Canis lupus familiaris: one gene and its partner. The protein of the gene in region 2 binds, or shares a complex with, the protein of the main gene of each other region. Links are inferred from orthologs where the notes say so. Each region holds a gene or a part of one and is shown on either strand. Other genes may lie near its edges.

Region 1 (5,331 bases), on a different chromosome or scaffold from region 2:
GGGTGCCGGTTTGGGAATCAGTGGTCAAACTTTGGGAAATCTGGAGGTTGCACAGGCGGCGGGCCCTCCAGCTCGCGGAATCGGTTCTCGGCGGGGGGCTCGGCGCCAAGGGCCCCCTGCCTCCCCCGGCGGCCTCCCGGGCCACGCCCTCCCGGCGCCGGCTCATTTGCATGTCCCCGCCCTCGATGGGAGGAGGCCTCCCCTGCCCGTCGGGTGGGCGGTTTCGGGTGCAGACCAGGCCCTGCCTCCAGGCCCTCGGGGCGCACAGCGAGGCGGGGGCGCCCCTAACCTCGGCCCTGGGCCCGGCCCGGCCCCTGCCCTCAGGAAGGCCTCGCAGCGTGACCTGGGGATCACGGTCCGACTGGTTTTCGGAACCTCAGAACCAACCGCACGTGAAATCCAAGGTCTGGCCTCCTGCGGGAAGTCCGGACCGAGGAGCAGCCAGCCTCGCGACGGGGCCGCCAGGTGGCTACACCTCACCCCCTCACCTGTCATTGGGTCTTCCATCTCTGAGCTAAAAACCTGATGCTTCTCTGACTCAGCCTCTCCCCTCCCCGCCCCCCCCCCAAAAAAATCTCTTTCCAAAACGGGTATATATCCTTTTTCCAGAGGAGGTGGACCAGCTATTTCCACATCTCCTAAAAATTCTAGAGTGTTCCAGACACTCTTCCAGTCCCCGCCCTCCTTGAGGCCCCATCCTCTCCCCGTGCGCCCTCCCCCCACCAGCATGGGAACGGTGGAACAAGATGTTCTCACATCCTCTCCTGGCGCCTGTGACACACACCGACGTCCAACGCCCCGCCGCTCGCACCCACACTGTGCCCTGCTGGTCCCTTCCCCATCTTGCCCCACTTTTCGACTTCCTCGGCCACATCCCGTATCCCCGCCGGCGCCCTCTCGGACCCTCCCCCAGCCTCCCTCTGGCGCCCATCACCCCTGGCTCTGTCCCCGGCCAACCTCCGAATCCCTCCATACCTTCGGCTCTCTCCACATTTCTCTATTGTCCCCTAAATGCTTTGTCCTCCCCCCTGAAGCCTCATCTCTGTGCCAGCGTCCTGGGACTCTGCCGTCCCTGGATCCTGCCTGTCGCTGCCCAGTGTGCCTCCCCTCTTCTCTCCTAATGTATGTGCCTGGTTCTCTGCCTCCCCTCATCGGCTCTCCTGCTTCTCCAGATCACTCTCTACCTCCTCCTCCTGTCTCTCCCTGGTGTGTCTGCTATTTTTTCTTACTATTATTTCCTCTCCCACTGAATCTCCATCTCTTCTGTCGCCCCCCCCCCCCCCCCCCGTGGCTCGCTCATCTACCTCTCTCCAGATCTATTTCTTCCCTCTCCTGCTCTTGTTCCGATTCTCTATAAATGTGTGTCTCTCTGCTGATCTCTCGGTGTCCTGGTTCTCTCCTCATCCCGCCTCACCCAAATCTGCCTCCCTCCCAGCATCCCTGGGACGGGGGACCCCAGGTGAGGTCGGGGGATTACAGGAGGTGCTCCTGGCACCCTGCCCCCTCCCCTAGCCCCGGAGGGCGGCCCCTTCATCCTCCCATCCCTTCCCCCCAGGCCCCAGCCCCCGCCTCCCCCCTCGCTGCCGATCGCTGCAGCTGCAGCAGCCCGTTGCCAGGGCAACCACAGCTGGCTGGGCGGGAGCCCCCTCCACCCCATCCCCCTTCTCCTTTCCGGCGAGGCTGGGAGGAGCTGGGACAAAGCCAGGGAAAGGCGGGGTGGGGGGGGAGTTGGAGGGAGATGGAGGTCGGGCGGGCTCCAGCTGTTAACCTCGGTCAGCTCTCCCTCCACGAGGCCCCCGTCTCCCCTTCCTGGCGATGCCCCCCAATCCAGCCCGCATAACGAGGCGGTCGCGGGCAGAGGGGTCAGGCCCAGTTTAATACACAGAACAAGTTAATTCACAGCAGAGGCAGGCAATAAAGGAGACTCGTGTACAAGGGGGGGCATGCGTGGATCGGGGGAGACCCCCCAAGCCCACCACCTCCCCCACTTGCAGTCTCAATTTCCCTTTTTTTTAACCCGAACAACAAACACACACAACCACGAGAAACAACCACGCCCCCTCGCTACCCCCAAAATGGCCAGCGAGGGTGGCAGGGGGCAGCCCGGCCTGGCCGGTGGGGAACTGGAGCAGGGGAAGGAGGAAAAACCAGTCCGGTGCAGAGTCTGTGCTTCTCATTCCAGCAGGCGCTGGGCGGGGGCCCGCCTGGCCCCCCCAGCCGACGCCCACCAGCCTGGGGGGTGCCCCCCCCACACCGCCACGGCGGCCCGACCTCGGCCACGGCGGGCACGGAGCGGGCAGGGCGGGGCGCTCGGGGAGGGAGCGGGAGCGGAGTTCAAAACCATGGTTCACGTCATGCAGTATCCACGGTGGGCACCAGGGCGGGGCGAGGGTGGACACCACACCCACCTGCCCGGGCTCACGGGGGAATGGTGCCCACTTTGGGTGCGGAGGCGGGACAGCTGCAACTCCGGAAACCGGGGGGCGGGGCTGCTCGGCAGGAAGCCGCATAGACTGGTGCCCAGTGGATGCTCAGCAGTGCCCCCTCCACCCGGCCAGGCCTTAGAGGACTCTTTGTATATATTAATTTCTTTTTTTTTTTTAACTTTTTGACTTTTTCTTTAGAAAAACGCTGTGTCCGTGCCCCGGGCTGGCATCTGCCGCCCCTCATGCCCGCCCAGAGGCGGGGTATGGCTTTGAGGGGAGCAGAAGCCCCTGGTGCCCATTTGCCAAGGGATGGGGAAGGAGGGAGGAAGGGAGAGGAGCCCTGCTAGGCCCACCAACCCACAGGGCAAACATTCCACTTGCACAGAGGGAAGGGGGGGCCCAGCCCCCTCTCGGGCTCCCCCTCTCCCCCTCCCACGGTGGGGCACTGAGGGCGGGGAGGGTGTGGAGGAGCTCGGAGAGGCAGATGGGTCAGCACCACCCCAGAGGTCCAGGTGAGCCAGAGCCAGGCCTAGGTGAGGGTGATGTAGGCAGAGGCCTTTTCTTTCAGGTGCCGAAGACAGAGGTGACAACTCCAGCTCCCTGTGGGGGAGGACAGGGGGTTAGGCCCAGGTCCTGGAAGGGCTGGCCCAACTCCCTCCCAACCAGCAGACACACAGTGCCTGGTCTTCTCCAGCAGGAAGCCCGCCTTTCGACCTGCCCACGCCCGTGTGGTGCCCACCTCTTCTCTCACCTTCCGGGGGCTCCGCCATGGGAGGACTCAGGCAGTACATGTGGTAACCCCGATCGCAGTCGTCACAAAACAGCAGCTGGTCCTGGGGGGTGAGACCCGCCCAGCTGGCACCCTGGGGGCACGGGCACCAGAAACCGGGGTGGGGGGGCTGGGGCAGGGGTAGGTCAGAGGGGCTGGGGAAGGTTGGTCCCTCCCACGAGAAGGGGCTCCGAGAAGGTCTTTGCATCACGGGATCTTTGCAGAACCCGGCTTGGCCAAGCTGAACACCCCTGTGGTCTGTCCGTTTGCAGTGTGTCGTCTGGGTTTGACAGAGTCTGCGGAACACTTAAAATGACACCCAGGTGGTCTGATACCAGCTCTGGAAGCACTGGATGTGGGTTCGGGTCCCAGCTCTACTAATTTCCTAGACGGGTGACCTCGGGCAAGTCATTTCCCCTCCCTGAGCTGGGTTTCTTCTCTGTGAAGTGGGAACAGGGCACCTACCTCAGAGGGTGGTTGGGAGGAGGCAGGGACATGAGGAGCCCTAAGGGCCCGGCCCGTTAACGGACACTAACAATAATGACAGAACAGGTTACCGCTGCTCCCCGGGGAGGGGCTCCAGGGAGCGGCCTGAGGCGCCCCGGCGGGCCGAGGGGCGGGGCGGGCAGGTCACCTGGGGGCGTGTCCCGGGGCGGGGCGGGGCGGGGCGTGTCCCGGGGGCGTGTCCGGGCGGGGCGGGCGGCCACTCACGTCATTCTCCGAGGTACCACACAGGCTGCAGGACTTGCACTCGATGCACTGCCAGCGGTAGGTCCGCACGGCTGCCGTCATGTTCACCGTAAACTGTAAACATGAGGGGTGTCCTGGGGGCCGAGGGGCAGGGATGCGGTTAGGGGCCATCGTGCCCCCTCCCCCGCGGTGGCCGCTGAGCCCGGGGAGGAGACGGCCCGGCCCCCACGCCAGCCCGGCTCTGAGGCTGGGCCTGACCCCCCCCTCGCGGTGCCCGGGCCGCCGCGCTGCTGCCGCGGCCACCCGGCCCCTACCCAGCCACCATGGTAACCACATTCTGCTCCCCGGAACACCATGGCAACCGCATTCCATTACCCACAGTGCTGTGGCAACCACTTTCTACCACCCACAACACCCGGGCAGCCACATTCTGTTAACCACTGTGCTGAGGCAGCCGCATTCCATTACCCACAGCAGAATGGCCAACAGGTTCCGTTAACCACAGTAACGTGGCAACCACGTTCTCCCAGCCGCGATGCCATGGCAACTGCCTGGCACAGGGGGGCCCCACACCCTGGGTTCCCTGCAGCCCGAGCCCCATTACCCGGGATACCCTGGCCGCCAAACTGCTTGTGACAATACCGTGCGATGCCAACCCGCTGGCCGTCCCGCTACCCCAGCGCAGAGACCCCCCCGTTGGCCACTACCCCGGTGCCACAACAGCTACCCAGTCGCCATGACAACCACATCGCACTACCCGTAATACCATGACAACCACAATTCATTACCCACTGTGCTGAGACAACCACAGTCTATTACCTACAAGTCCACCCTGGGAAACCACATTCTATTAACCACAAGTCCACGGCAAGCGCCGTCGGTTATCCACAGGACCCCGACAGTGGCCATCCATGACTCATTATCACAGTCCACTCCCCACGATGCCGGGGCAACCATCCTTCACCACTCCTCGTGCCATGATAAGCACAGGCCACCACCACCAATGCCATGACAACCACATCCCAGAGCCTCTCTGACCCCTCTGGGTTTCCCACAGTCCTCAGCAGTGGAATCCGTTGCGCCACCCCTGGGTTCCCCCCACCAGGCCGCGCCTCTCCACCTCCCATCCTCCAGATCTAGATTCCTGGTGTGCCCTCCACCCAGGCCCCCGGCAACCTCGGGTGGGGGTATCACCTGATCGCCCACAGTCAGCACAGGAGATGAGGTCCTCGGGACACCCAGTCTTCTTGGAGCCACCCAGACAGAAGTCACAGTAGCCGTTGGGGATGACAGTGCCATCAGGTGCCTTCTTGGCTGAAAGACAGCAGGCAGGGGTTGCCACAGGCAGCCAGGGACACCTAGTCAGAGGCTGCTGGGGAAATAGGGGCAGAGGGAGGCATCCCTACCTGTGTGTTTCCTCTGTGCCTCAGGGACCCAGGCCAATTC
Region 2 (4,412 bases):
TCTGCCATGTAAGAGCTGTGTGACCTAGAGCAGATCAAAGCTTTCCGAACCTCAGTTCCTTCCCCTGTGAAGTGGAATTACAGCATATACGGCAGCTGTGAGTGTTGAGACACTGAAAGGGTCCGCCCTGGACTCCCACATGGAATGTGGCTCAGGAAAGGCTACTTCTTTAAGGTTCTCGTCTCCCACTGTATCCCCCATGCCCTCAGCTTTCTCCAGCCTAGGCCTTTCAGATCAGCTGTACCTGTTGCATGAGTGGCAAACATGGGGACAGGCTCTCCCCATTCTCTCTCCTTTGAGAGAGAAGGAGGAGGAACACCTTTTGTGGGCAGCAGAGCAAAGAACTCAGTGCCTGTTAGCTGCAGGAGCATGGGTGTGGTCAGGGTGGGCTGGGCAGGAGTGGAGTGGGAAGGATGCTCATAGGCTTTGTGCCCCCAGGAACCTGTACGGGAGGGCGCCCCTCCAAACTGGAAGAAGAAGGAGAAGCTCCCCCAGGTTTCCAAGTCCTGGCATAACTACATGTGCAATGTGAGGAGACGGTCCCCTGAAACAACCCCTATCCCTCCCAGCTCCTGCTCCCCTGCCATGAGTAGAGGGGAAGGGACAGAGAGGCCCTGCAGGGGTGGCTTGGGGGTGCTGAGGAGGGACACCAGGCCCTCACTGCTCACCGTGTCCCTGGGTCCCCAGGAGGTGATCCAGGACTTCCAGGCCTCTGTGCTACAGGTCTCAGACTCTCCCTATGATGAGCAGTAAGTGAGCCCATGGCTGAGGGATGGGACAGGGGGCAGGCCTGGGATTCAGAGGGTACCTCTGGTCCCCTGTGAGCACCCCCAGGCAGAGTCTCTTTTTCCTGGGCAGGGTGGCTGCGCAGATGCCCACGGTACACTATGAGATGCCCAATGGCTACAACACAGACTATGGTGCTGAACGGCTCCGCATTCCCGAGGGCCTGTTCGATCCCTCCAATGTCAAGGTTGGGTGGGTGGAGGGTATTGAGGTGGGGACTGGTTGGATTCCCTGGATGCCAACGTTGGGTGTGAGGGAGGCTGGGAAGGATCACTGGGGTCTGGGGAGAGAGGGCAGAGGCCCAAAACCCAGATCACCTTTCTTGGCAGGGCCTGTCGGGGAACACCATGTTGGGTGTGGGCCACGTGGTGACCACCAGCATAGGCATGTGTGACATCGACATTCGCCCGGTGAGGCCCAAGCCTGTGTCTGGGCCCAGGGGCCCAAAAGTAGTGGGGAGACAGGGAGGGGCTGTGCCCTGAAGGCACACTCCTCTCTGCACTCAGGGCTTGTATGGCAGTGTCATTGTCACCGGTGGAAATACCCTGCTCCAGGGCTTCACTGACAGGCTCAATCGGGAGCTTTCCCAGAAGACCCCACCGGTAGGAGCCCTCCCCCAACAGGGTCCTGGATTCCTGTCCTGGCTTAGCTCTCCAGGACCCAGTCCTTCCTCCTTCCTCAACAGCAAGTGTTCTGGCCACCAGAGCAGACCCCTCCCCCTGCGGCTTCCCAGTCTTCCCCACTTCTAGCCCTCTCCCTTCCCAGAACCCAGGTGTCTGCTTCCCCCAGCCCCTCTTTCCCCCCAGAGCATGCGGCTGAAGCTCATCGCCAGCAACAGCACCATGGAGCGCAAGTTCAGCCCCTGGATTGGGGGCTCCATCTTGGCCTCACTGGTGAGAGGAAGGGGCCTGGCCTCGCACTGACTGTGGGAACCAGGCAGACCCAGACATCCCATCCCCTTGTCCGCCTCCTTATTCATTCATTCAACAAACTTTTATTTTTGAGAAAGAGTAGGCTCCCAGAAGGGTGAATGCTCCATCAGGACAAATCAGGGAGCAGAAGGACAGGAAGCTGGAGAGATTAGTGGAAGTTGAGGCTATGGACGAGGCACCCACTATACTTAGCAGAAGAGAGACACTGGAAGTTTGGGGCAAAGAAGCAATGTGACAGTCACAGGCATGTTTGGGAAGACTATGTCCAGAATGAGTCTTTGGAGATCAGAGTATGAGCCAGACACAAGGGCACCTTGGGAAGAGGCTCTTTCCATTGTCCTAGAGTCACAGAGTGAAAGCAGTGAGGATGGGGTGGTGGGCAGGAGGCAGATAGAGGAGACAGGCAGGCTGGTTCTGGAGCAATAGGTGGTGAGTCCTCTCTGGACCTGCTGTGGGACACAGGCAAGATGCTGAGCAGGGAGCTGGAGATGCAAACTATATCTCATGGGTGTCAGCCACACAGACAGGACAATGGGACCATGACAGAGCAAGAAGGTCATCTCCTAGAGGGGCAGCCCCCAAGGAGACAGAAACAGGGGTCAGAAATACAGGAGGCTGACAGTGTGAATTCATCCATCCAGTTATTGTGGCCCCCCACCCTGGGTGCCTGACATGGTCCCTGCTTCAGGAGGCAGCACAGACCAGCTGCTGAGCCCATTAAGCAGGAAGTCACCTCAAAATGTGCAAGTGTTCCTTGAAGGGAGGGCCTGATCTAGTTTCAGGGGCTCTAAGGAGCATTCAAGCTGAAGATGGAAGACTGAGTAAGAACCCTTGAGGCAAAGAAGGAGAGAGGATGCTTGGGCCATGGGGAGAGGCAGGGAGACCAAAGGCAATGGGCAGATGCTGTCAGACCCAAGTTTAAGAAGCTCAATGGGGCCACAGAGTGGAGAGTGGCTTGAACAGTGGCCTCCACTGTGACTGGAGTTTGACAGGGGAGTGGGTATCAGGCTGTAGAACTGGGAGCTCATGACACAATGTGGGCAGCATCTGGATGTGAAAAGTTAGAAGGAGTCTAGGATGATGCCCAGGATGCTAGCTCCTGGCAGCTGTGTCCAACAGGAATTTAATATGAGGAGCCACATATATAACTTGAAATTTTCTAGTAGGCATATTTTATAAGAGCCCCAAGAATCTGGTGAAAGTTAAGCTTAAAAAATATATCTTATTTGGGTTGCCTGGCTGGCTCAGTCAGTAAAGCATATGACTCTTTTTTTTTTTTTTTTTTTTTAAGATTTTATTTATTTGAGAGAGATAGCCAGGGAGAGAGCAGGAGCAGGGGGAGCAACAGAGGCAGAGGGGAACCTGATGTGGGGCTCCATCCCAGGACCCTGGGTTCATGACCCGAGCTGAAGGCAGATGCTTAACCAACTGAGCCACCCAGGCACTCCGAGTGTGTGACTCTTGATCTAGAGGTTGTGAGTTCGAGCCCCATGGTGGGTGTAGAGGTTACTTAAAAACGGAGTCAGCCAGATGCCCCTACTTAAAAATAAAATCTTAAAAAGAAAAGAACATACTTTATTTAATTCATTATATTCAAGATATTTCAATGTGTGATCAATATAAAAATGAGATGTTTTACATTCTCTTTCCTGGATTTAGTCTTCAGTATCCATTGTGTATTTTATAACTGTAGAGCACATCTCAATTTGACTAGCCATGGGATGCCTGGGTGGCTCATTGGTTAAGCATCTGCCTTCAGCTCAGGGCATGATCCTGGAGTCCTGGGATCGAGTCCCACATCAGGCTCCCTGCATGGAGCCTGCTTCTCCCTCTGCCTATGTCTCTGCCTCTCTCTCTCTCTCTCTCTCTCTAATAAATAAATAAAATCTTTTAAAAAAATTTTGGACTAGCCATATTTCAAGTGCCCAATAGCCACAGTGCTCAATAGCCACTACATTCACCAGCACTAGTATAGAAAATGAGAAAGGCCACTGAAGAAGGTTTGGGCCAGCTCTGGGGGAACTCAGTCACAGACATGCTGAATTTGAGGTCTTAAGAGACTCAGAAGGAGGTGTTTAAAGACAGTTGAGTATTTGGGTCTAGTGTTCAGTTCCAAGCATTGGCAATGGTAAATCGAGGGAGGAATAGGGTTTTGGAGCACAAGCAGAAGTCCCAGGAGTGGATGAGCTGGTTCGGGAAAGGAGAGAAACAGGGACAGTAGTACCAGGGACACAGGCACTAGCTTTCAGGCAGAGATTGAGCAACCATCAAAGAGAAGGAAGAGTTTGGGACGCCCAGCGCGATACCCTCGGGGGCAAGGCTCAGCGTGAGGGGTGGCCGGCAGAATGAAGAAAACTACATCCAGAAGTTAAGTGGTGCAGGAATGGTGAGGGTGAAGGAAAGATTCTTCTTGGGAATGCGGAGACTCCCTGATGGAGTGATAGGAGGAGGAATTGGGGGAGGGGAAGGGGGGCAGGTCGGCTGGCCTGAGGCTGTTAGCTCCCCTACTCAGCTCTAGCCCAGTGCGTGGCCCAGGGCAGACAGTGTGCAATAATTACTTGTTGAATGAATGAATCAACGTCAGGATTAAACGACAGGAGCAGGGGTATTCGCACGGAATATGAAAGAGGGCTGGGAGGCTTGGGGCGGTCGCTGCGGAAGGGATTGGGCTGGAGAGGCGGGGTCGGAGGGCGG

What was found. Proteins that work in one complex are often made in the same cells at the same time.
Region 1: ACTL6B (region 2) and DPF1 share a complex: the UniProt entries of both Homo sapiens proteins name them as parts of the neuron-specific chromatin remodeling complex. The link is inferred for Canis lupus familiaris from reciprocal best matches to the Homo sapiens genes ACTL6B and DPF1.

The regions. Positions count from the first base shown.
Region 1 is NC_049222.1:115,605,398-115,610,728, reverse strand, and holds the end of DPF1 (zinc finger protein neuro-d4), read right to left. Parts: coding exon 5,292-5,331; intron 5,200-5,291; coding exon 5,080-5,199; intron 4,020-5,079; coding exon 3,907-4,019; intron 3,290-3,906; coding exon 3,166-3,289; intron 3,027-3,165; coding exon 2,956-3,026; 3' UTR 1,854-2,955; downstream 1-1,853. UniProt on the Homo sapiens protein: May have an important role in developing neurons by participating in regulation of cell survival, possibly as a neurospecific transcription factor. Belongs to the neuron-specific chromatin remodeling complex (nBAF complex).
Region 2 is NC_049227.1:9,000,925-9,005,336, forward strand, and holds part of ACTL6B (actin-like protein 6B), read left to right. Parts: intron 1-438; coding exon 439-528; intron 529-687; coding exon 688-749; intron 750-858; coding exon 859-973; intron 974-1,115; coding exon 1,116-1,196; intron 1,197-1,292; coding exon 1,293-1,388; intron 1,389-1,575; exon of another isoform or gene 1,576-1,592; coding exon 1,593-1,679; intron 1,680-4,412. UniProt on the Homo sapiens protein: Involved in transcriptional activation and repression of select genes by chromatin remodeling (alteration of DNA-nucleosome topology).